Canis lupus familiaris: one gene and its partners. The protein of the gene in region 5 interacts with the protein of the main gene of each other region in a biochemical or structural test. Links are inferred from orthologs where the notes say so. Each region holds a gene or a part of one and is shown on either strand. Other genes may lie near its edges.

Region 1 (3,995 bases), about 6.9 Mb from region 5:
GGGCTGCTGCCTTGGGCCTGGGAGGGGTGGCTGATTATGTACCTGGGAGCCGGGAGGGGTTTGAGGATAGCACACTCTCTCAGGAATTTCGGAAGCAAGGTTTCCAGCACCTTGAGGGGGTAGCTATTGTTGGGAAAAGGGCACTTATTACCGTCTAATAAAACCTGAGTCATGAGACCCTTCAGATGTACCTCGGTGGGCCACGTGCTTGGGGGATGATTGCCAACATGTATCTTGGAGACTTAGAAATAAAGGAAATTTCTTTTTCTTTTTTAAATTTTATTTATTTATTCATGAGACACAGAGAGAGAGAGAGAGGCAGAGGGAGAAGCAGGCTCCATGCAAGGAACCCGATGTGGGACTCGATCTTCCATCTCCAGGATCACGCCCTGGGCGAAGGCAGGCGCTAAACCGCTGAGCCACCCAGGGATCCCAGAGATAAAGGAAATTTCTAAAGGAATTTTTTTATGTTAAAGTAGACTCACAGGATCCTGGGGGTCAGGCTAATATTGCCTTTTGCCCTTAACAAAGTATTAACATCGAGGCAGTTGAGTCCATAGAGGACTGTCCCTCTGCCTGTCTCAAGGACTTGTCAATGTGCTGCCCTGGGCCGGTGCTTTGTCCTCAGCTAGTCCTCTGTTCCTCCATCAAAAGCACTTTTATTGCCTTCTAATAACTTAGTTGGTGTCTGTTCCTCCCACTAGAAGATGAACTCCGGGGATCCCTGGGCGGCCCAGCGGTTGAGCGTCCGCCTTCCGCCCAGGGCGTGATCCTGGGGTCGCGGGATCGAGTCCCGCGTCGGGCTCCCTGCATGGAGCCTGCTTCTCCCTCTGCCTGTGCCTCTGCCTCTCTCTCTCCGTGTCTATCATGAATAAATAAATAAATCTTAATAAATAAATAAATAAATGCTTAATCGACTGCATATGTGTGAGCCCAGAATCGTCCGTGTTCGTCGGGTGGAAATGGGTCAGGGAAAGCTTTCGGGTGTAGACCTTAGGAAGTTAATCACAAACAGAGCAGAGGGGCAGCAGGGAGCACAAGAGACGAGCCCCGGCTCCGGGGAGGATCGCACGCCCAAGAGAAGGCGGGAAGCGCGCTCAGCGTCGCGATGGACGCGCCTAAGGCCGCCCACGGGGGCGGCGCCCTGAGAGGCTTGCGAAGCCCCGCCCACAGCGCGCGCGCGGGGCTCCGGACGCGGAAGGAGCTCCGAGGGGCGGGGCTGCGAGGTTACGTCACGCGCCGTGCGTCGCCGCGCGTGCGCTCCTTTCCACGTGCGAAAGCCCCAGACTCGTGTAGTCCCGGCCGCCGCGGAGTCCTGAGCCGCGGGGCTGAGCTCTCGCCATGAAGCCAGGTGCAGGCCGGGGTTGAGGGCCGGGGTCGGGGACTGGGGGCCGGCGGGAGCCCGAGGGGCGGGGCCCCGGCCTAGGGGCAGGGGGTCCGGCCGCTAGTGGGGAGGGGGTCCTGGTTCCGGTCGCCCGTGGCGGTGGCGAGGGGGTCTTGGCTCCTCCCTGTGAAGCGACGCTGAGTCCGGGGTGCGGGTTCCTGGTCTGGGGGTGTGTGACTGGCTTCGGAGGTCACGGTCGTGAGTCGGGGGTCCTGGGTTTGGAAGGGGGTTCCTGAGCTAGGATTCGACTCCCTGAGGCCGTCATTAGGGGTCCCGGTTATTGGGCTGGGGGTGGCAGTCGGGACAACCGACCCAGAGTCTGGATCCAGGCGTCTGGGGTCTTGGATCTCTGGCTGCGGGATTTGGGGATTATGTGTTGGCTCGGAGGTGAGTCCCGATTTGGGGTCGGGGAGAAGCCCCGTTTGCTTCGCGTGTCGCCGCAACCAGAGCCCCCTTAGCTCCCAGACCAGCTTCTCAGAGAGGGCCGTAGTGAATGAGGACTCCCGGCTTGGGAGTGTGTGGCCCTTTCTGCCCCACTTTCCCGCTCTCTACTCTCCCGAGGGGCGGGTCTCCGAGGTGTGAGTGATCGTGATGCTCAACTCGCGGTGAGATGAACCTTCACGAGCCCAAGACGGGCTTAGCGTGGGGTGGGGGAGGGAGATAGTCACAGGACGCGTGAGTGATTTTATTCATTTGATTTTCCCCGAGATTCTGGTGAACCCACCCCGCCTCCCCCGTTGGTAGATCGATGAGAGGGCAGGCTTTGACAGAAGAAAGATCTCAGTTCAAAACTTCAGCACTAGCTTTGGTTCTTAAGTTGCAGCGTGACCTTGGGCAAGTGGCTTTACTTCTCTGTTTTCTCGTTTGTAAAATGGCGCCCAGTTATAATTTAGCAAGATCACGTTAAGAAAAAGTACATATTGTGGTAATCTCTTTGCAATAGATTAAGTGTACAAATAAATCAACAGGTTGGCATATGTGATGTTATATATACATGTCAGTTATAGTTCAATAAGGCCGAGGGGGAAAAGCACAGGACTTGACATAATAGTATTTGTCTCCACCTCCTGTTATCTTTATCATTCCTCTCAAGAGGCACAAAATTAGGGTCTTTCTTCCTGGTGACTTGGGGCTTCCTAAATCAGGCAATGCCCCTCCCCACAACTTGCTTCGCTAGAGTTTGGGGAAATCTTCCACTGTGACCCAGAAGGTCTGTTTCCTAGTACAGGTCTTTGTTTTGCACTTTGCACTTCCTTTTTCTCCCACCCTCCCTGCGTGTGTGGAGAGATGGGGTCATCTGGTGGAGGGGGAGGGTGGGTTTCTTCAGGAGAAAGAAGACCTGATGACCTGATGAAATGATGGGCGGGGAGGCAATGCTGGACTGTGTCTCTCCATCATACCCCGGCATGCCTGCAGGCACCCTACAATTTGATTCCCCCAGGAATGGAGGATATACCTTCCGCCCAACCATTCCCTCATTGTGTTAGGATATGAAGCTGCAGCAGTTAAGAGTCAGCTCTTCACTAAGGGTTTGAGTCTGACAGAGAAGAAGCCCTGGGGAGATTTTGAGCAGGGACAGAATGCTGTCTGATTGACACATTTAAAAGGATCCTTATTGTTTTTTTATGTAAAGGGCATCAGGGGAGCACAAGTGGAAGCAGGTGCATTAGCAGGAAACTTGTGGTGATTTAGTAGGAGATGATGTGGCTTGGGCTAGGGTGGTATTAGTGGACCTGCCTGACAAATTGTCACACTTTGGAAATATATTTTGAACATAAAGCCGACAGCTTGTATGTGGGTATAAGAGAGATCAAGGATACCTCAGGGTGTGGACACATGTACCTGGAAGGATGGAGTGTCCATTTTTGAGATGGGAAGGTTCTAGGAGGAGAGCAGGGTCTAAACCTGGGGGTCCGTGGAACTTCCTCCCAAAACTTCTGGAAATGTGTGTGCAAACGTGTGTTTTCCTGAGGAGTTGGTACTTCTGGTACATTTTTGTAAGCTCCCCTGGACCTGAAATGAATAGATATGTTTTGAGTACCTAGAACTGCAAGTTGACACTCATGCCCCCAGGTCCCCTAGCTATGCCCACACTTCTCAGGTCACTGTTCCATCAGGCCTGGGATGAGAGTCCCTTCAGCCTAGTGATTTCTCCCCTAAGTGGAAGGACAGGGGGACTCTCCTTCCCCTCATTAAAATACTCCTGTTCAAACTGTGTACCAGGCAGTGTGTTGAGGGAAGTGCTTTGTGTGTATTAAGACATTTTTTTCCTACAATGTGTGATTGTTATCGCCGTATCTCTGTCTTACAGGTAAAGTTTTCAGGATTCCCATGAACCTTCCCTACTCTCTAGGGCCGTGAGTGGCATCTCCATCGCCCTGTACGGGACACATGAACTGATTGAGGGGCGGGGACTGGGGCTCCCTGAATGAACAGAGAGAGTGCTTCCCCCGCCCGGGGCAGAACCCAGGGATTTAAGAGTCATCAGCAGACAGCTCACTTAATATTTATTGAGCCCACACTTTGTGCCAAATGTTGTGCATGGTGCTGGGGATGCAGAGTGACCAAAAGTATTAAAACATCCCTGTCCCTTGGGATGCTGGTGGGGAAG
Region 2 (4,004 bases), on a different chromosome or scaffold from region 5:
AGACACAAAGAGAGAGAAGCAGAGATGTAGGCAGAGGGAGAAGCAGGCTCCATGCAGGGAACCCAATGTGAGACTTGATCTCAGAGTCACGCCCTGAGCCAAAGGCAGACGCTCAACCGCTGAACCACCCAGGCATCCCATCCCAAGAGATTCCTATTCCTATTCATTAAGTATTTTAACCCTCTCAGAAGGGTGTAGTACAAATAGGGAAACCCACATTATGTACATATTAGGATCTCAAGGTACATTCTACCGTTTGTGTATCACCATGATACATAGTAATCTGACTTCAAACATCTTTAAGCAAATCATTTCCTCCCTGTATGAAAAACCTAAAACTGGGCAGCCCAGGTGGCTTGGTGGTTTAGCGCTGCCTTCAGCCCAGGGTGTGATCCTGGAGACCCGGGATTGAGTCCCGCGTTGGGTTCCCTGCGCAGAGCCTGCTTCTCCCTCTGCCTGTGTCTCTGCCTCTCTCTCTCTCCTCTGTGTTTCTCAATTAATAAATAAATAAATAAAATCTTTAAAAAAAAAAAAAAAAAACCTAAAACTTTCTCCATTTAGGGAATACTCTCCTCTCCACATTTCATTGTCATGCTGAAGGGAAATGGGAAGGAGAATATAAACAGAAAAATTCAAAGTCAGAAATAAAAGGAACCAGAATTACAAACCAATTAAATATTTGTTTGAAAAGATTCAAACTCCAAAAAAAGTTCAAGGGTTACAGACTACGAATAAAGAAATACAGTTTCAACATTTCAGCAATGTTTAAGAAAAGCAACATTCAAAGAGCAGGAAGAGGCGGGGTAACCCACTAAAAGAGACTCACTGTTCTGGGTCTGTCCATAAGAAGAACCATAGCTGCTCTGGCCGTAGCCTGAAGTGTCTGCTGACTGACCGTAACCACTGTAACTCTGCTGTCCATAGGGCTGATTGCTCTGCTGGGAATAGCCCTGCCCAGGCTGGGTGGGGTAGGCCCCATAGCTGGAAAAAAAGAAAAAAACCAGTGGAATCAAGAAAAGATACCTTAGCCACCCTTGCCACCCTACGAACTGGAAGTCCTGAAACAACACTCACCTTTGGGTTGCTTGTTGGGTATAGTCTGCAAAAGAAAATACAATTACATTACCTTCAGCCATCCTTGAGAGTATAACAGAATTAAATTTCTTAACTCAAGCCCTGGGGCCTTCAGATAGTATCAACAATGTTGCAAGAAAAGGCAGAAATTCCCTCATGACAGGAAGGACAAGATGGCAGGTCATAATCAAGTTTTCTCCCAATGGATACCAAGAAGTCTCACCAAAAACAAAACAAAAAAAAAAGAATCTTGGTGGTAAACTACAATGTTCTGTGAATTCAACTGATGTCAGGAACTGCACAAACCTACATAACATTTTATTTTCTTACCTACTCTAGGGGAAAGGTATCATCAACAGTCGAGTTAAAGTCACAAACTGGGGACAGATTTTGATGCAAGCCAAAGGCAGCAGTGAGGGGGATGCGGCCTCCACTCTCTCAACCAAGCCCAAAGAACAGATAGGTCTCAAATGAGGCCATTCTTCACCCTTTGCCTAATCTTGGAGAATGACAACGTGGGCTTTTTTAGTACAAAGCCACGTAACCAAGAGAACTCTCCGACCCCAAATAACAGAGATCATCACAGAGTTCGCTTTCGGAGGTCAATCAACTGGGACTCAAGTGCCAAGCCCCGTGCCTCCAAACGATTCCGTCTGCTCATCTGCATTGCCTTCCTCGAGGGCTGTTGGGAGTCTCGGCAAACCAAATGTCGCGAAAGCGCTTTTAAATCGCCCCCAATGAAGGCGCACCAACCCAGATCAACTCATCACCTCCTCAGTACAGGAAACGAGGCGCTTCCCCCGCAGGAAAAGGGCAAAAGATCGGGAGAGGGTGTGGCCTCGGGCGGCCGTTCCTCTCGACTCCCACCACGGAAAGCGGAAATTTAGGCGGGAAAACCCTCGGGCCCGGTCCCAAGTCCGTTAGACGACCCCCTAGGGGCCTCCCCCAAACCGTTAAGCTGGCGCACGGCCCCGATCCCGAGCCTCCGCCCCCGGCCGCGTGGCAACCGAGGCGGGAAGCAGGCGGTCCCGCCCCTTCCCGAGGGACCCCCGGGGCTAGGCCCACACCGGACGCGCGCTACGGAGCCTGCAGCGGAGAGTATCGCGACAAAAAGCAGGGCTAACACGAGGCGGGAGGGGGGTTCGCGCCGCGAGAAAGGGGGGAGGGGCCAGCAGGGCGCGTGCGCGCACCGAGTGCCCGGATGCAGCACTGCGACAAAGCGGGGCCCGAGCTCGCGGCTGGGAAGGGGGGGGGGGAGGGAAGGCTTCGGGACCGAGCGTTTCCATGCGTGCCTCACGTTTCAAATTACCAAGAAACGTCCGTGTCAAATCTCACCTCAAGTAAAGGCACTGAGACGGCAAGATCCCCTACCACGCGCAAGGCGCCGGAGAAGCGAAACAAAATGGCGACACAGGCCTCCCCCCCCCCCCTCCACCCCTCCCGTTGCTTCCCGCCACAGCGGTGCGAGAAAACCCTACACGCGATCCGCCACCCGGGTCCCATCAGAAAAGAAAAAAAAAAAAAAAAGCCCAGCTGGGAGGGACCGAAGCCCCAGGCCGGCACGCCGCCGCCGCCTCGCGCCCTTACATACCGTTGGAGGCCATGTCCGCGCACGCGCGCACAGGCCGGCAAGCAACAAGGTTCCAACACCGCAGAGCACCGACGCCTCGAGGACTGAGCGGCCCCGCCTCCTGCGTCGAGACTTATGTACGTCTCCCCCGCCTACGTACCGCGGAGGAATGCACGAAGTGCGGAGAGGGAAGGGGGGAGCGTGGCTGGACTCTGCAACCCCTCAGGGAGTACCGAGGATCCTCATAGACAGAGGGGAAGCATAGCGATTAAGAAACTTGGCAGGCAACATACATAACCCTATTTTTCCTAGCAAAGTACTCTGACTCTCCCTGCAGGACTGGCCCAAGCCTCACCTTCACCCCCTAGAAGGGCATCATGGTACGGTCCATTGACCCCTCCCACCTGGGGGTGGAGCGAGGGGCCCAGGGCGTCTGCGGACGCAAGTGTAGTCGAAGCCGGGAGTCGCGGGGCGGGAACCGAAATTCTCCCGGCTGGCCCCTTTCACTGGGCCCCACTTTCACTAGGACGGCGAGCCCCTGCGCCCCGGTGCCCTTCCACTGCACCAGATGCTTGGTCCCTGCGGCGCCAACCTCCCTCTCCGGCTCAAACGTTCCTCCCCCCCCCCCGACAACACACGCCCCGCGTCGCAGGTTCCCCCTGCCATCATCTTTCTGGTTTGCGTCTCCCTTGGTCCTTGCCAGCAATTGTGGATCGTGACGTCCGACCTGAAAGGAGCTTAACCCGGACCCCAGCCCTGATCGCCCACCAGACCTCTTCTGGATTTTGCCCTTGACTTAGCGGTGGGACGGGAAAGCCCAGGCCCTCCTGGACGTCAGAGCCGTTGAGATTAGATTAGGGTCTCCCTTACTTCTTTTACTGATGCAGAACTTTTTTTTTTTTTCCTAAAGCCCTACCAAGGAACCAACGTGGAGGGTCAGTGATAACTGATATTTATAGAGAGTGTAAGTGGTTTCAAAATGTACAATCAGGGGCGCCTGACTGGTGCAGTCAGTGGAGCGTGTGTGACTTGATCTCAGAGTTATGAGTTCCAGCCCCACGTTGGGTGTAGAGGTGACTTAAAAATAAAATCTTCAGGGGCGCCTGCATGGCTCAGTTGATTAAGCATCGGACTCGATTTCCGCTCAGGTGGTGATCTCAGGGTGGTGAGATTGAGCCCTCTCTTGGCTCTTCGCTCAGTTGGGGATGGCTTGAGGTTTCCTCTCCCTCTGCCCCTCTTCCCTGCTCCCACCTCTGCTCCTGCTCCTGCGGTGTGCCCGCTCTCTCTCTCAAATAAATAATCTTTTAAAAAGCAACGCTAATTGATTGTGTTCCCATCACCATCTTGTGAAGAAAAGGTA
Region 3 (3,969 bases), on a different chromosome or scaffold from region 5:
AAGCTTTGCCGGGGGAGGAGTTTGGAGCTGTAAGTAACCCTCTGCCTGCCCCCTGACTTTCAAGCCTTTCCTTTCCTGCGCCCCCACCCTCCCTGCACCCCGGCCCTGGTCTCCTGACCCCTCCTTTTCAAGGGGCCGGCAGCACTCAAGAAGCAGGAACTGCATGCCCCCCCACCATTGTCCTGGACCATCTACAGTACACGACCGCTCCCCAAACCCACTCTCCAGCTTTCTACCCTGTGTCTGCTGTCCATTCCTGTCACAGCCTGAAATCTGCAGAGGAAGCAGCTTCTGGAGGAAATGAAAATTTGCAGCAGCTCCTTCTAGGCTGTGAAGCCCCTGGGGAAGGAGGAGAGGGAATCCCAGCAGGGCAGGTGAAGGCAGAAGCTCTCTTTATTCTGGGGCCTCCAGAGCCTGCCAGGGGCCCAGCTGGAACGGAATATTCATTCACCGAGCTGGCTGACCAGACTGTCTTAGAATGAGCAAGAACGGGCAGAGGCTGAAGGTAGAGGTTTTCTTTTTATATATACAAGACACATTAATCCATTAAATTCGAGGACACAGTACAAAAAAAAAACACTTCAACTAATTCATCTGACAATGCTGTTCATATTCATGACGCCATTTTGTTGTTGTTTTGTTTCCTAATAATAAAGGAGGAGACGTAGGGCTGTTGGGCTGATATATATTTGGGGGTCCCCCTGCCCCACCTCACCTATACACCACCAGGGTGAACAGGAGGAGAAGGAAGGCGGGGCCCACAGCAAAGTTTCATAATCTTGAATGCAAGGGGGGAGGAGGAGAGGAAAGGGGGAAAAAAAAGGAGAAAATACAAATCCTATAATACATACAACAGAGTAGGGGTGGTATGGGGACGGGACAGACATGAAGCTGAGGCATAGGGTGGGACACTGGAGGTAGGGGCAGCGGAACCCCCCCTTCCTCTCTCTCTGATGCCGTTTCCGTGGTTGCCGGGCAGGAGGGGGGTCAGGCCTCAGTTAGCCCCCCAGCTGTAGCTGTTGTAGGCAGACTTGTTGGTCTGGGGCTTCTGCGGGATGGAGCTGGTCTGGCTACGTTGCCCGCTGCCCGTCTGCAGGGAATGGGATGATGAGGAGGAGGAAAAAGGTGTCTGGTTAGTGGGACAAATCTGTGACATCTGCAGGTAGAGCTCTGGAAACTGTCTTGCTCTCCCACTCCCCTTGCTTAGAAATGACTCTGAAGTTTACTTCCCCACCACAGAAAATTTGGTTTCTATAGGTGCTAGAGGACCTGTGACATGGAAGAGAGCATTTTCAAGCTTTGAACAGGGGAACAACATAAAGACGGCAGAATACCTTTTGGAGACAAGACAGTGAATGAGTTCTCCCCACTTTCAATTCCACTTTCTCCCTCCACTCCCACCTACACTGCTCTGAGAAAAGGCTCTCTCTCTCTAGAGAGAATCACAGCCTCTTGGAGAGGAGTGATCACACGGAGATTTCATTTTCATCAATCCCATGAATACCTCAATTTGGAAAGCTGTCTTATCCCAGCTCCTCAGCCACCTGTGATGGAGGAGAGGTCACTTGTACCACCCCAAGCTCCCCACCCCTACCACAGAGCACAGCTGAGAGCCCACTGCAGGTGAGGTAGGAGAGACAGTCTGAGGCCCCAGGCTCCAGAGGCTGCCCCAAGAATCCTTTCCATTCCAGTAACCAAGTGCTTCCAGAGTCAGGGAAGGGCAGAAAGAAAGAGGGCGCTGGGGAGGGAGGACAAGAGAGGAATGGGAGGCCAGAGAGCTCAGCGAGGTGTCTGTGTTTGTGTGTCCTGATCTGTGACCGTGCAGCCTTTCCAAGTTCCCTGACGCTGTGGAGGTGAAATGGGGGCTGGAAAGGAGTGGGTTCAAGCACATCATCATTCAGTTTCATTACCTGCTCCTCCTGCTGGCGCTGGCAACAGAGAATCATCTGCAAATATGGTAGCTGAGGCAGAACCAGGATATATGGAAAATAAAGGGACAAACTTTGACAATAGAACTCCACCATTAGAAGGGAAAGCTACAATGTCAGGGAATGGGGGAGGCTGGGAGAGGTTGGAGGGGAGGCGTGACCCAGGTCTGATGGGATGAGGCAGCTGTGTTATAGGAGGCAGAAGAGAAAGGCCCCAAAGGAAATTTCAGCCTGGCCCCTTCTCTGACATCTCCTCTGCCGGCAGCTGGTGTTATGTGCACTTGTGTGTGTATGTGCTGTGTGCCCATGGCTGGCGCTGGGAGGGGTAGGTGAAGGTGGTTGTGAGGAAGGGTAAGAGAAGGAAAGGGAGGCAGTTGTAGGGGACAGGAAGGAAGAGGAAGGGAGAGGAGAGGGGGAGGGCTATTACCTGGCCATCCTGCTGCAGGTGATGGTGGAGGATCTGGGAGTGCGGCTGCTGATGGGGGGTCAGAATGTGCATAAAGGGGGCAGGTGGGTAGGCAGCAGCTGTGGCCGGATTGATGGGCCCCCCACTTCCTAGGGCTGAAGGCAAGTTGAAGGAGGCAGCAGGAGTACCGGAATGAAAACCTTGTTTCTCAAAGGACTGCTATCCAGAGGGATGGGGAGAGACAGTAAAAGGGGTCAGCAAACCAAGCCCTGGAGTTTCAGAGCCCAAGTCCCCCACCCCCCAAGAGCAGTATGCAGCAGAACAGCAGCACTAAAGGCACGTGAGCGGGTCTGCTCTGTTCTCCAAGGGCTGTGGGATCCTGAGAGAAGTACTCACTCATTCTGATCTTTGCTCACACATAACCCAGGGGTGCTGACTCCCAGCTGTCAGCACAGCAGGAGAGGACAGCTGTGAGCGTGCTCTGGGACTCTACCATCACAAACCACCCCCACCGTGCAGCTCGGGCATCCTGGTGGCAAAGGTCTCGGTCACCAAGTGCTCCACCATAACTCCGAACACTGCATGTATCAGGCTTAATAGTTCAGATGCACTCTTCCGTTCCCACCTTTTGTTTTTACAAAGAACGGAACTAGTTTCCCTTCATTCCATTCTCTTGGAAAGTTGCAAAAAGGCTGGTGGTATGGAAAGAAAGGACAGTTGCCACAGTAAGTCTCAAGACACATCACAGCCACCTGCCACGCCTTACCTTCCTGGCACACTTCTCTTGCCTTTCTCAGAGAGCTAAATTTAAAGTTCTTTGAGAAACTGAAATCTAGAGACCACTCATCTTCGAGGACAGGTTTCCTACACCTCTTGGGGTCGTGCTTGTTCACTGGACTTCTGTCACTGCAACACCACCTCCTCTATGCCCATCTCTTTCCACTTCTAGGCACCTACCTGGGTTTTGGAGTACACAGAACCCGAGATATCTGGCACGCCCGTGTTACTGGAGGTGACTGATACACCTGGGGGAGGAGGAAACAGACAGGAGGATTAGCTGGGCTCGCTGCTGGCCCCTCTCTAGACAAGGAGATGGCGTGTGCGGCCTTTCTAGTTACCACACTGCAAGGGGACTCTGGTCTGTTTTTCCAGCTCAGGTCAGCACCGAGAGAGATGAGAGCTCATGACCCAAATCTCTTGTCCTTTCCAGGTTATGTACTGAGAATGTATGTGAGAAAGTGAGCTGAGCTACTTTTTGTGGGGCAAGTGGATATAGCCAAATCTCACTAGCATATAGTTTTCAAAACACTTTTGTGCCAAAGCTGAAAAGAAATGTAATAAAATTTTAATGTCCATTTCAAATCAACCCACCCAGACTCCACCCAGTCCTGCTCCTAAGATAGGTAATCTGGGCTCTTCCTGTTCAGAAGAGACCTTTGGGCTCAGGATCTGTGCTTTCACAGCATAAGAAAAGTGCTCAAGGAGCAATCCAGTCCAGCCCCAAGAGCGTGGTCTGTTCTTGGGAGTCTCAGCTTCCCTGGCCCGGCTGCTCCAGTCTTGGCTCTTCTCGGCTATGTACTTCTGACTTAACGAGCTGATGCAAAGGTGCACTTCCAGCTAACTAATTTAAGCCTA
Region 4 (3,500 bases), about 37 Mb from region 5:
AGGGGATCCTGTATCATAAGTGACCCTCTAATTAAAGTATCCATTCAAAGACTAGCACTAATCAAAGTATAAATGGAAACACAGACAAATCTACAGTACAAAATTCCTGAGTTTCAAATGGAAAACCAATTAATGATACCCAGAAGAAAGGGTTTGTTCACCCCCATCATCAACATAGAGATATGTATCAAGATAAATGGCTATGACTGAATGATGTGAATTCTAAATTTTAAAATTTTAAAATGAGAATGCTTCAGGATACCTTTAAGTTCAGGAACACAAATAGAATGTGATTAAATGACACGCTGACCATCCCACACAATATAGGCTGGGAGATCTTTCCAAAGCAGAGGCCTCCAAAAAAGGACTGAACCCAAACTATGAGAATAAGGCCCTCACAAGTGAGAAGGACACTGTGAATGATCATACGGCTGACTGGCTCTCAGGGGCTCCTCCTCTTGGGGGCCTGTCTTTGGAGTCTCCGCAGTTAGGCAGAGGAAGCAGAGCTGCTGCAATTAACAGAGTACAGAACTCCAGGTTGTTTAAAATGATCAAGTACTCCCAATTAAATGTGCTTCTAAAGAGCTTGAGCTGAACCTAATCTAATCATGAAATGCAGAGCAGTTATCCTGTGAAATGGCATTGCTCAGGAAACACTGTACCTCTCTTTTGAGATAAAAATGAAATGCCATTAACATTCAGTATTTGCACAAAGCACAGCTCTGGGTTGAGCAGAAGATGCACTGTCACCATAACTGCTTTGTATGAAGTGTCAATAGGTCAAGTTCCAACTCGTTTTATGAACAATACTGATAAAATTAGGCACACATCACATCTGATTACTCCTAGGTAGAAAGCAGAACACCAACTATTAATGTCCCATTTGCACCTCAGAAGTGGAGAGGGTCCATCCAGTTCCTAGTCAGTTAATCCAGAAAATCACCTCTAGAGAAGAAAATGTCATGCTTACATCATCTCTATACTTGGATTTGTGTATCACCACTGCTTTGGAAGGGACAGTGGACTCAGGTTTTCGGATGTTAAACTCAGGCTTTGGTCTGGTCTGTTCTTGAAGATTTTTCCACTCATCGAGGGTCATCTCTTGAACTTGAGTTTCTTCTTCTAACTCCAACTCAGGAACTCTATAAAGAAGCAGAAGTTTTTGATGGTTCTTTTTTTTTTAATTTTTATTTTCATTTATGATAGTCACAGAGAGAGAGAGAGAAGCAGAGACATAGGCAGAGGGAGAAGCAGGCTCCATGCACCGGGAGCCCGACGTGGGATTCGATCTCGGGTCTCCAGGATCGCGCCCTGGGCCAAAGGCAGGCGCTAAACCTCTGCGCCACCCAGGGATCCCGTTTTTGATGGTTCTAAAATGCCTGTGTTCTCATACGCAAAGTCATTACTCTTAGTTTAGCCACTTTCATGGTCCCACATCTAATTTACATAAGGTAAAATCTCTGAACCACAAGCTTCCCTACTTTAATCATTTTATGGTATCACTGCTAACTAAAGATACTTCTTGTCTGTCTTTCCTTTTTTTAAAGTAATCTCTGTGCTCACTGTGGGGCTCACACTCACAAGCCCAAGATCAGGAGGCGGGCACATGCTTCCCCGACTGAGCCAGCTAGACACCCCACTTCCCATCTGTTTGTTTCAAAGCTGTCTTTGAAATATGGGAATATCACCATCCCATTGACATTACACTTCACCTCCAGGCATTCCCTTCCCAGATGGCATTACACACAAAATGAGATAACTGCAAAAGAAAAGGGAGAAGCTATTGAGTCAAAACAAATATAGGCAATCATGAACAGAATCATAAAATGGTGGGTTACACATACATACTTTTGTAAATATCCTCTTTGAATTCATGAGATTTTAAAAGAAAAGAGAAGACAGATATATGAGAAATAAGGCCCTCACAAATGGAAAGGACACCATGAGTGATCCTGCAGATTCAATGGACTAGAATTCAGAGCACAAAAATAAATCCTTGTATTTACAATATTTTTTTTCAAGCAGGTGCCAATGACAATTTAAAGGAGAAAAAATAGTCTTTTCAACAAATGGTGCTGGGAAAACAGGATACCCACATGCAAAAGAAGGAAGCTGGATCCCTACCTCACACCAGAAATATGAGTTAGAAATACAAACCCCTTAAAAGATGATACAGGCACCAATCTCCATGATTTAACATTAAGCAGTGGTGACACCAAAAGTGTAAGTAACAAAAGATAAAGTAGACAAACTGGACATCACTAAAACTTTTGTGCTGCAAAGGACACCGTTAAGAAGTAAAAAAAACAACTCATGAAATGGTAGAAAATATTGCAAATCATGTATCTGATAAAGGACTTACATCTTACATCTTGACTCTTACAACTCAATGAAAAGAAATAACCCAAATGGAAAATAGGCTAGATTCTGAATAGACATTTTTTCCAAAGATGATCTCAAATAACCAATAAGATGCTCAATATCATTAGCCATCAGGGAAATGCAAATCAGAACTGCAATGACACTCCACACTCAGTAGGATGATTAGAATAAAAAAGACATTTAACAAGTGCTGGTGAGGATGTGGAGAAATTGGACTCTCATACATTGCTGATGGGAATATGAAATTGTGTGGCCACTTTGAATTACAGTCCAGCAAACCCTCAAAAATTTAAACAGAGTTACCATCTGACCTAGCAATATCACTCTTACATATACACCTATGAGAAATGACAACATATGTCCATGTGAAAACACACAGCACCACAAATGGAAATTCAATAATGCTGTTTATTCATAATGCAGCATTATTCCTAATAGCCAAAAAGTAGAAACAGCATGAATGTCCATCAACTGATGCAAAGATAAACAAAATATGGGTTATCTGGGATGCCTGGGTGACTCAGCAGTTGAACATCTGCCTTTGGCTCAGGGTGTGATCCTGGAGTTCTGGGATCGAGTCCCACATCAGTCTCCTGTGGGGAGCCTGCTTCTCCCTCTGCCTGTGTCTCTGCCTGTCTCTCTCATGAATAAATAAAATCTTTAAAAAAATGTTCTGGAACCAGTAACAGTGATGGCTGCATAACACTGTGAATGTAGTAAATGTCAGTTGTACACTTTAAAATGGTTAAGCCTGTAAATTTTATTTATATGTATTTACCACCAAAAAGAAAGTATACATACATCCTATGGCATGGATGAACCCCAAAACATAATGCTAAGCGAAATAAGCCTGACCCAAAAGGACAAATATTATATTCCACTTATATGAGGTACCTAGAATTGGCAAATTCATAGAGATATAGAAGAATAGAGGTTATTAAAGGGTAAAGGGGATGGAGGAATGGGGATTTATTATTTCATGGATACAGCATTTCTCTTTGTGATGATGAAAATGTTCTGGAGATGAATGGTGGTAATGGCTGCACACGAAGTTACAGGTTCATGATATGAAAACTATTAGTGAAATCAGAAGAGAAACCTAATCATAGAGCATCCAA
Region 5 (3,977 bases):
TATATGAATACAATTATACAGTACGTTCTCTTTTGTGCATTCTTTCACTGATTTTTTTTAAAAGATTTTATTTATTTATTCATGAGAGACACAGAGAGAGAGGCAGAGACATAGGCAGAGGGAGAAGCAGCTCCCTGCGAGGAGCCCCCCGGGAGCCCCGCCCATGTAGGACTTGATCCCAGGTACCCGGTATGGCTGAGCCAAAGGCAGCCGATCAACCACTGAGCCACCCAGGCGCCCTAGGTGGATTAAATTTGAATGCATTTTCAGTTTATGATGTTTTCAATTTATCATGGGTCCCTGTAAGAGGAGGAACGCTTCCTGGAGGAGGTGGCATCGAAGGTGTGCCCCGGCTGATATATAGGAGTCGGCAGACAAAGGGAGGTGCGGGTTTTTAGCAGGGGGAGGGACTCGGCAAAGGCCAAGTGGCTTGAGTGGGGTTGTTGGATTTAAAAAACTCGGAAGTTAGGTAGAGGGCTAGGTGCTTATATGTCTCGAGGCCTGAGTCCTCTTGCTGACTTGCACCGCACACCAGACAAGCCCTCCTTTTCTCTGGACCTCTCAGGTCTCCAGTCTGTCCCTCAGGTAAATGACCACAAGCTCCCTCCTTCCTCCTGAACTTCCCCCCCCTCCCCTGCGACTGGGAGAATCCACCGAGTGGCTGAGGAGTGACTGTTCATTGAGCCAATCGCTGGAGCCTAAAGGCCCGTCTCTCCTCCCCTTCTCATGGGCCAATCGCCGCGTTCTCCTTGAGACCAGCAGCTTGACGGGGGCGGTGCAAAGGCTTCATGACGTCACGCTCAGGATAAACCAATAGCATCTATTAAGAGGCGGGTTGTTTTGATGATGGACAGCTCCCTTTCAAGATGTCCGCTTAACGCGGGGCCCGCCGGGAAGCTTTGAGGCGGTGCTGGGGGGACAGGGGCGGGAACTTCTGGTAGACTTTGCCCAATCAGCAGTCACGGTTCTTGCGATAGACGGGCAGTCTTTCCCATCCCCGTCGACTTAAGGGGGCGGGGCTCCGCACACCAGACTGGGCGGGCCCCTCAGCTTTGATGGGCGTCTCTCTTTGCCCAATTAGCAAGCGACATCCTCAGACGGGCCGCCTCCGTTGCCAATGAAATCTCCTGGCGGGGTCGTGGTGGGCGGGTCGTGGACCCTCCGGTATAAGGCGGTCCCGGGGGAGTGCGGAGAAAGGGGGGGGTCTCGGCGGCAGGAGGAGGAGTAGGTGCGGGTGAAGATGGCGGCAGCCGAGGCCGCGAACTGCATCATGGAGGTGAGCGCCTGGAGCGCTGCCGGGGGTGGGGGGCGGTTTGGGGGTCGATGTTTTGTGCCTCCGTCGTGGGGAAGGGGCCCCGAATGGGCGGATTGGGGCTGAAGGTTCTCAGCCGTACGGTGGGGACGCCGCATGCTGCGGATCGCGGGATACAGTCAGAGGTTCGGGTTTCCTAGCTTTCGGGGGTCTGCGGCACTCTGTCGAGCCGAGGGTGTCGTGCCCCCTCCCACGTGGAGGAGGGCTGGGGGCGCTTCCGGCCTGGCCCCCACGTGGCCGCGGCACGGTGGGTGGGGAGGGGGTGTGCCGTGCCCGGTGGCCCGACGGGCTCCACGTGCGGGACAAAGGCCCCGCCCCCGGCCGGGGGAGGGGCGCCCCGGGGGGGGGGCGGAGAGGAGGCTCCGACCCTCCCTCGGAGGCCCCCTGCCCTTTCCCCCGGGATCGCGACGTACCCCTCGGCGTGGGCTCACTTCTGTCCCTCCGAGAAGTAGAGTCTCTCGGGAGGGGCAGTGTAGCTCGGCCCTCCACAACCCCGTTCCCGATACCGCGGCATCTCCTTAGGCTTCGGTCCAGGTTTCGTGGACTCAGGGGTTGGGATTGGAGGAAGAGGAAGGATTGGTTCCCTCCGGGCCCCCGGTTTCCTGTCCCTGGATTCCCCCCTTCCCGGGGCTCTGGGAGCTGGGGGGATGGGGCATGCCCCTGTGACCTCCCTCCGGGTGGTGGGGGGGCCTCTGGTTGAAGGAGATTCTTCCCGATAAGGCGTCGTGCACCCCCTTGTGGCCATTTCTGGGTGTGTGGGAGGGACATCTTTTTCATGGGGCGTGTCCCAAAGCCCACCTCCCCTTTGGAGCCCTCCCGGGCTAGGGGAGGGAGAGTCTCTGCTGGGAAGAGCTTGTGGGGGAATATAAGCTACCTCCTACTGGAGACTTTTCTCTCCTCGGCGCCTAGATACGCGAAGGTGGGAGATGACCTCCCCCTTTCTGAAGCCCTGTTTGAGGGTCCTGAGCCTGGAGGCTTGAGATGGTGTCCTGAGAAGTTTGATTCTTGTGCAGCCATGTGGGCTTGGTTCCGGTGCTGTTTCAAGCTCCCTTGGGACTTGCTCGGCTGTGGTGTTAGTGGTATTGAGAAATGGGTCCCAGTGGGAAATCCCCTTACCCGTCACCCTTCTTTGTAGGTGTCCTCACTGGCTTGGGAGAATGGGGGCGGGGCTTGGAGCTGAGTGGGTCTTGTGTGTGACTTCGTGCTTCTGAGGGGCCTGGAGAGTGGTCATATCCGGAAGAGATGTCATCTGATGGGGCCTGCATGATCCCTCCTCTTACCTTGTAGCATTGGGGGCCAGCGGCCCCCAGGGGTCACTCCAATGACTTCCATCCCCCTTGGCTCTCTCCTGGACCAGAGTCTGTATGGGTGGAGGAAATATCTCTTTTAGAGGTTGCCTCAGGATTTGGCCCCACACCCCAGGGGCTTTGGGCCCTGGGATGGGTGTCAATGGGTTTGAGGGGCCAGAGTTTGGCCTCCTCCCTGGGACTCTACCTTCCTGGGAAGAGGGAACGAAGCTTGGAGATTGGCTCCAGCTGGTGGTTTTGTTTGGGGCTTCCTGAGCCCAAGGCAGGAGCTAGGGGTCAGGGTGCCAACTCTGGTAGGGGTGCCTGTGTGCCACACCTCCTTTCTGGAATCCTCTTAGACAAGAGGCTTGTTTGCAAAGGTGGTAGATGCCCAGTGGGTACACACTGCCAGCGCCCCCCCCCCCCCAGCTACTCTTGGCACCCTGGGATGGGGGTGTGTGTGTGTGTGTCAGGAAGTGTCACCTAATCTGGGGGGGATTAGATGATGAGGGGGAGTGACAGCTGGCAGTGCCTGTGTGCCTGGCGGGTGCCAGCTCCTCTGGCCTGGATGGGGGAGGTGTGTATGGTCAGGTGCCTGGCCAGAGAGGGCAACGTGGGGGCGGGCCACCATCTCTCCAGCCGTAGCTGGGACAGAACCCCATCTCTTCTCCCCCCACTTTTCCCACCCCCTTTTGAAAACAGCCCTGCCTCTTTACTCCCTCTGCCACCACTCCCCACCAAGGAAAAAGAAAATTGCAGGAAACACCCCCTCCCCTGTGAGCTGGGGTCCCCTGGCCTGGCCCTCCCCTAGCCACTCCCAGTAGCTAATCCTTTCTCCCTGTTACTCTCTCCTAGAATTTTGTAGCCACCTTGGCTAATGGGATGAGCCTCCAGCCGCCTCTTGAAGAAGTAAATATCCTTTTGTGAGACCCTTCCCCACATACATATATCTTGCCACATTATCAGGCCCTTTCTAGCAGGCTAACCATGATTTCTCTCGCTTCAAACCAGTTTACCCTGTGCCCCCAAACCGTTAGTACAAACCACCCTCCAGGTCTGTGGCTCCCATCTGGCCTCCCCAAGTACCGTGGCTACTTCCTTAACTCCATTTCCAGCCCCCCCACCTGCCCTTCCCGTGTCTGCCCCAATTCTGCCTTCCCCTCCCCTCCCCAGCTGTGGGCTGAGCTAGAGACGGGGGCAGAAAGACTGGAGAGATGGTAGGCGTGGCTGAGGTATTGGGGTGCTCCCTTGGATGGTGCTCTGGGGGGGTCCTGGAAGAGGAAAGTGGGGTTGTAAGGTTTTGGGGCTCGTGGGGGAGGCAGGACGGCAGGTGGGGCCTTTAGGGTTGCCATGGTATGATTGGGGGGAGGATCTGTTCT
Region 6 (4,265 bases), on a different chromosome or scaffold from region 5:
CCCAGAGCTTTTGAGCCAACTCTTGAAGGGTTAATGGCAGCAGCATCAGGACTTTCCTGTGGTTCCAAAAAGAAGGATTTTGGCCAAAAACAAATATCCCCAGTGGATACTCTTTGGGTCCCAAAATTCCATTGCAAATCATCCCCAAATTATTCAGCACACATACTCACACACAGAGCAGCACATAGCAAAGCGAAGGTTTTGTGCAGAGTACCCTTCCATCCCAACCCCAATAACCTCTAACTCCTGCCTTACTCCCCTGACCCCCATAAAACAAAAAGCTTTTGTTTCCTGCCTGGGAAGCAACATCTACAGGCCCCTGAGCATAGAATCAGAAACAAGTCATGATTTCAAGAAAAGTTGCTTAGGACAGAAGCGATCAGGAGAGGCCTTTTCACTCTGCCCTGGATCTCACTGGAAAAATAAAAGATAAGATTAGACAACAAAGCATAACTGAAGTCCAGGCTCAAATGCTCCTGAGGAGAGGGGCCAGGGATGCAGATGTCCTGCTCAGGACAGCAAGAGGTCTGGATTCGGCCTTTCTCCCTACCGCAGGGCAGCTCTTGACCCGTTCTCATTCACAGTTGCTAACCTTGCTTGCTCCCTCTCATATCTTCCTGGGGAGGCCAGCCAAGCTTCTCCCGCCTCGCCCTGGTCAGGCCCACCCCCTTGTAGGCAGGCACTGGCTCCCAGACTCCAGCCCCAACAGTTCTCTCCAAAGGCACCTGGGGAGACCACTTCCAAGCAGCTCCCTTTAAGGATTTTTTTCTTTAAAAAAAAAAATCTTTTGGGTTTTTTTTCTCTTTTCTTAAAAAAAAAAAATATATATATATATATATATATATCTTCATTTAAAATACAGTCCCCCAGGTTGAGGTATTCAGTGGCCTGTTGTCACGGCAGAATGAGTACAGTAGAGTGCCTGGTCAGGGGTGGCAGGGGATCTAACTGGAGACTGCCATCACATAGTTTTTCGAGGGGCTGCTCCGGCCCAGCATCATTTGGTTCTTGCAGGTGAGGAGCCCATAGGAGGCAGCCACAGGGGCCTCCTCGTACAGGACGCAGATGGAGCCATCCTCCCCGATGCGGTAGGACACCTCATAGGGGTCCACCCACAGAGTCAGCTCACTGGGCAGCAGCCGGTGCAGCTGGGGCTGGCTGAGTCCGATCTGGCTGGCCACCTTGCTGATAATGGGGTCCATCTTATGGTTGATGCGAATGCAGCGGTAGCCTGAGCCCTTGGATGGCTTCTCAGGAAACCAGTGGTGTTTGTAGTGCTCTGTGGGGATGGAACAAAAGGGAGATGGCTTGGTTAGAGTAGCTGGGCTGTGGAGGCTACCACAAGGGTGGGATGGGAATGAAGGGATAGAGTAGAGGAAGGAACCCAGAGATTTTAAGTAAGCAACGTGGTTTCTCATGAGTTCCAGGACCCTCCTGGAACCCTCCTGCCACCGAAGCAGAGGAAATTATATGGGATTCCTTCCTCACTCCTTCTAGGCAAGGATGTGAGTGTATATGGGGAGGGAGTCCCCATAGTTCTGGGGCAATCCCAAGCAGACAGTGTATTGCTGTTAGCACACACACACACACACACACACACACCCTCCGGTTAAGAAGGAGGGGTGAGACCCGAGGACATGTCCAGGCAGTGCTCCTGGAGACAGATGAGCTGAAGTTGCAAGGCCGGGAAGGCTGCCATCATTGCTGTGGATCCACAGCAAGTCACTGTGTCTCCCACCCTGGGCCTCAGAGGCTCCCTCTTGCCTCCCTCAAAAGCCAGAGACCCTCTCTGCAGTGGCTAGGGAGCCAAAGCTGGGTTGTTTTTGATGAAACGTATGTTGCTCCTCAGAAGGCAGGATCTGTGTGGGCAAGTTCGGAGATGGCTATCGCTGCCCCGAGCCCAGTGCCGAACCCGCTAGAACAGCTGAGATAGGTCTCCCCCGGTTGCTTATCTGTCGTCAGCCCCAGCACACAGGCCAGCAGGGCGCAGTTACTACCTGCAAGGCTTTCTCAGCACCGTAACGAGGGGCAGATGGCTAAGGGGAGCCAAAGTGTACAGACGGGGCCGGGATTCCAACTTCCAGCAAGTAGCAGCCGGCCCGGGCGCGGCGCAGCCCGAGGACCCACGGCAGATCCACGGCCGAGGATCCAGGTCGCTGAGAAGCTCAGTGGCACCTTCTCGCCCCACAACGACCCGGTGGCTGGCGGGACTGCCCGTCCGCGCCGCCCCGGGGAATCTCGCTAAGGGCGGGGAGCTCGCACCCGCCCGCAGGCGCCTCTTCTCCGGGGGCAAGGGCCGGTGCCTGCGCCCGCGACCGAGCGGAGGAGCGCGCCGGGCCAGGGCCGTCCCGGGGGGACCCGAGCGCAGGGCCGGGCGGGGCGTGACCCAGGGCAGCGGAGGCCCGCGCCGGCCGCCCTCGGGGCTGGGGGAGCCCGAGGCCCGGAGCTGCTCGCGACAGCCCTGCCCTAGGAGGAAGGCAAGGCGGCGCGGGCGGGACGCGGGACGCGGGACGCGGGACGCGGTGGGGGTCGCGGCCGGGGTCGGGGCCGGCGGCGGGGCCGCGCGGACGCCGGGACGTCGGCGAGCGCTCACCGGTTAGCGCCTCCTGGAGGGCTCTGCTGAAGACCTTTAGCCTCTGCTCGCCCACGCAGCCCCGGGTGCTCAGGAGGCTGGAGACGAAGCCCGCGGCGGCGGCGATCTCCGGGAGCACGTCTGCTCTGCTCGCGGTCCAGCGGGCCCGGCTCATGTCGCGCGCAGCTCGGGGGCGGCGGCGGCGGCGGCGGCGGCGGCGGCGAGCGCAGGGGAGGCCTCGGCGGGACGGTCGGCGGCGCAGGGCTCGACTCTGCGGGACTTGCCCGGGACGCGCCTTTCATACTGTTCCGAGAGGCGGGGGCGCCCGCGGCGGCCCCCATTGGCAGCGGCCAGCGGATGGGGCGGGCTCGGAGGCCGCCGCGCCCCGCCCCGCGCGCCCCGCCCCGCCCCGCCCCGCCCCGCCCCGCCCCGCCCCGCCGCCTCCTCGGCGCTGAGGTCATCGCCCGCTGACGTCACTGCTGGGAACCCGAGCGGCGCTCGCCGGCCGTGGGCGGCGCGGGGAGAGGGGGGCGGCCGGCTCGCCCCAACCCGGGAGTGCCTGCGGCCCTGCCCCGCCAGTCCCGCGACGCGGAGGTCACCCGCCGCCTCTTCCAAGAAGCTTCGCGGACACCCCCTCTCCCACGAGCTCCCTTTTCTGGCGCCCACGTTTTCCAGTGTCAGAACCACTCACCCGGACGCTTTGTCACCGCTTTACCGCTGTGCTGCGTTTGTGAAATAGGCTTCCCTGGGCTCTTCGGAGATGGGAACCAAACCTTCTGTTTACTTCGGGGATAGTCCCGCCTCCAGAAAAGCTCTGTGCTTCCTCTGCACCAGCGCCTTTCTCTTGCCCAGCTGCGTCCCTGTCCCACCTCTCTGACGGCCAGGGCCAGGGCGATGTCGTAAGACTTTTCTGTCGGCCCAACTTATCTTCCTTGCTCTCGCTGTCTTTTAAATGCCAACATTTTAAAATAAGTGTCCAGCTCTCAACTGCACACAACTTCCCATCCACTTCTTTCTCCTTCCCTCTTCCCCCAGCCCTCTCTCTCCTGTCCATCCTTCTTATGGACTGAAGTTCTTGTAAACACGGTCTCCTGGGTAAAGAATCTCCAGGGTCCACATGCAGCACTGGGCCCAGCGCCTGTGATGGTGCCCGGCGCTGGGCACCATCTCCGGCGCTGGCCAGATGTCCCCTCCATCAAGCTAACTTCTAACCAACATCCTGGGGTCTGGCATAGTAGGTGCTCCATATTTATTTGCTAGGTGAGTCAAACCCAAAGGCGCCTGTAAATTCTTACTTTTCTTGAACTCTAGGTCCTGGTGACCACCTCTGGAGGCAATCCCTCCTCCTTTTCCTGGGCACCTGACGCCAGGCTTCTCAGCCTCCCTTCCCCAGCTCTGTCTGCCCTGGATCCGCTCCTGCCCCTGTTCCCTCTCTGTGTTCCCGCACTCCTTTCCCTTTTCTCTCCAATTGCCTTCCTCAGAGAAACCCTGTTTATGATGATATCCACTCTGATGTTTACTTTTTCACCCCTGACTGTCATATCTGCATAGTGTGTGTCCTTTCATCCTGCTGCTACCACCTCCTGCTCTGTCCTGCCCCTTAGGTGTCCAGCCACCAGCTCAATGTCAGTCTAAGCCCACTGTCTTCCCCAGCTACCTTCCTAGTCAAAGATACCATCACTTCCCCAGGCAC

The links.
Region 1: of the proteins of PRMT1 (region 5) and FBL, one has a biochemical effect on the other in vitro, tested with the Homo sapiens proteins (2 studies listed by BioGRID). The link is inferred for Canis lupus familiaris from reciprocal best matches to the Homo sapiens genes PRMT1 and FBL.
Region 2: of the proteins of PRMT1 (region 5) and FUS, one has a biochemical effect on the other in vitro, tested with the Homo sapiens proteins (3 studies listed by BioGRID). The link is inferred for Canis lupus familiaris from reciprocal best matches to the Homo sapiens genes PRMT1 and FUS.
Region 3: of the proteins of PRMT1 (region 5) and UBAP2L, one has a biochemical effect on the other in vitro, tested with the Homo sapiens proteins (2 studies listed by BioGRID, with this or other methods). The link is inferred for Canis lupus familiaris from reciprocal best matches to the Homo sapiens genes PRMT1 and UBAP2L.
Region 4: the proteins of PRMT1 (region 5) and HABP4 form a complex in vitro, tested with the Homo sapiens proteins (2 studies listed by BioGRID, with this or other methods). The link is inferred for Canis lupus familiaris from reciprocal best matches to the Homo sapiens genes PRMT1 and HABP4.
Region 6: the proteins of PRMT1 (region 5) and BTG2 form a complex in vitro, tested with the Homo sapiens proteins (2 studies listed by BioGRID). The link is inferred for Canis lupus familiaris from reciprocal best matches to the Homo sapiens genes PRMT1 and BTG2.

Annotation. Positions count from the first base shown.
Region 1 is NC_049222.1:114,418,048-114,422,042, forward strand, and holds the start of FBL (rRNA 2'-O-methyltransferase fibrillarin), read left to right. Parts: upstream 1-1,195; 5' UTR 1,196-1,341; coding exon 1,342-1,351; intron 1,352-3,995.
Region 2 is NC_049227.1:17,230,614-17,234,617, forward strand, and holds the start of FUS (RNA-binding protein FUS), read right to left. Parts: upstream 2,801-4,004; 5' UTR 2,679-2,800; coding exon 2,666-2,678; intron 1,100-2,665; coding exon 1,075-1,099; intron 982-1,074; coding exon 827-981; intron 1-826. UniProt on the Homo sapiens protein: DNA/RNA-binding protein that plays a role in various cellular processes such as transcription regulation, RNA splicing, RNA transport, DNA repair and damage response. Binds to ssRNA containing the consensus sequence 5'-AGGUAA-3'.
Region 3 is NC_049228.1:42,959,714-42,963,682, forward strand, and holds the end of UBAP2L (ubiquitin-associated protein 2-like), read right to left. Parts: intron 3,360-3,969; coding exon 3,292-3,359; intron 2,554-3,291; coding exon 2,356-2,553; intron 1,962-2,355; coding exon 1,911-1,961; intron 1,091-1,910; coding exon 995-1,090; 3' UTR 501-994; downstream 1-500. UniProt on the Homo sapiens protein: Recruits the ubiquitination machinery to RNA polymerase II for polyubiquitination, removal and degradation, when the transcription-coupled nucleotide excision repair (TC-NER) machinery fails to resolve DNA damage.
Region 4 is NC_049222.1:70,930,740-70,934,239, forward strand, and holds part of HABP4 (intracellular hyaluronan-binding protein 4), read right to left. Parts: intron 1,143-3,500; coding exon 971-1,142; intron 1-970. UniProt on the Homo sapiens protein: Ribosome-binding protein that promotes ribosome hibernation, a process during which ribosomes are stabilized in an inactive state and preserved from proteasomal degradation.
Region 5 is NC_049222.1:107,533,427-107,537,403, reverse strand, and holds the start of PRMT1 (protein arginine N-methyltransferase 1), read left to right. Parts: upstream 1-1,177; 5' UTR 1,178-1,240; coding exon 1,241-1,276; intron 1,277-3,453; coding exon 3,454-3,507; intron 3,508-3,714; exon of another isoform or gene 3,715-3,812; coding exon of another isoform or gene 3,813-3,830; intron 3,831-3,977. UniProt on the Homo sapiens protein: Arginine methyltransferase that methylates (mono and asymmetric dimethylation) the guanidino nitrogens of arginyl residues present in proteins such as ESR1, histone H2, H3 and H4, FMR1, ILF3, HNRNPA1, HNRNPD, NFATC2IP, SUPT5H, TAF15, EWS, HABP4, SERBP1, RBM15, FOXO1, CHTOP, MAP3K5/ASK1, MICU1 and NPRL2.
Region 6 is NC_049259.1:667,098-671,362, reverse strand, and holds the start of BTG2 (protein BTG2), read right to left. Parts: upstream 2,801-4,265; 5' UTR 2,748-2,800; coding exon 2,594-2,747; intron 1,280-2,593; coding exon 945-1,279; 3' UTR 1-944. UniProt on the Homo sapiens protein: Anti-proliferative protein; the function is mediated by association with deadenylase subunits of the CCR4-NOT complex. Activates mRNA deadenylation in a CNOT6 and CNOT7-dependent manner. In vitro can inhibit deadenylase activity of CNOT7 and CNOT8.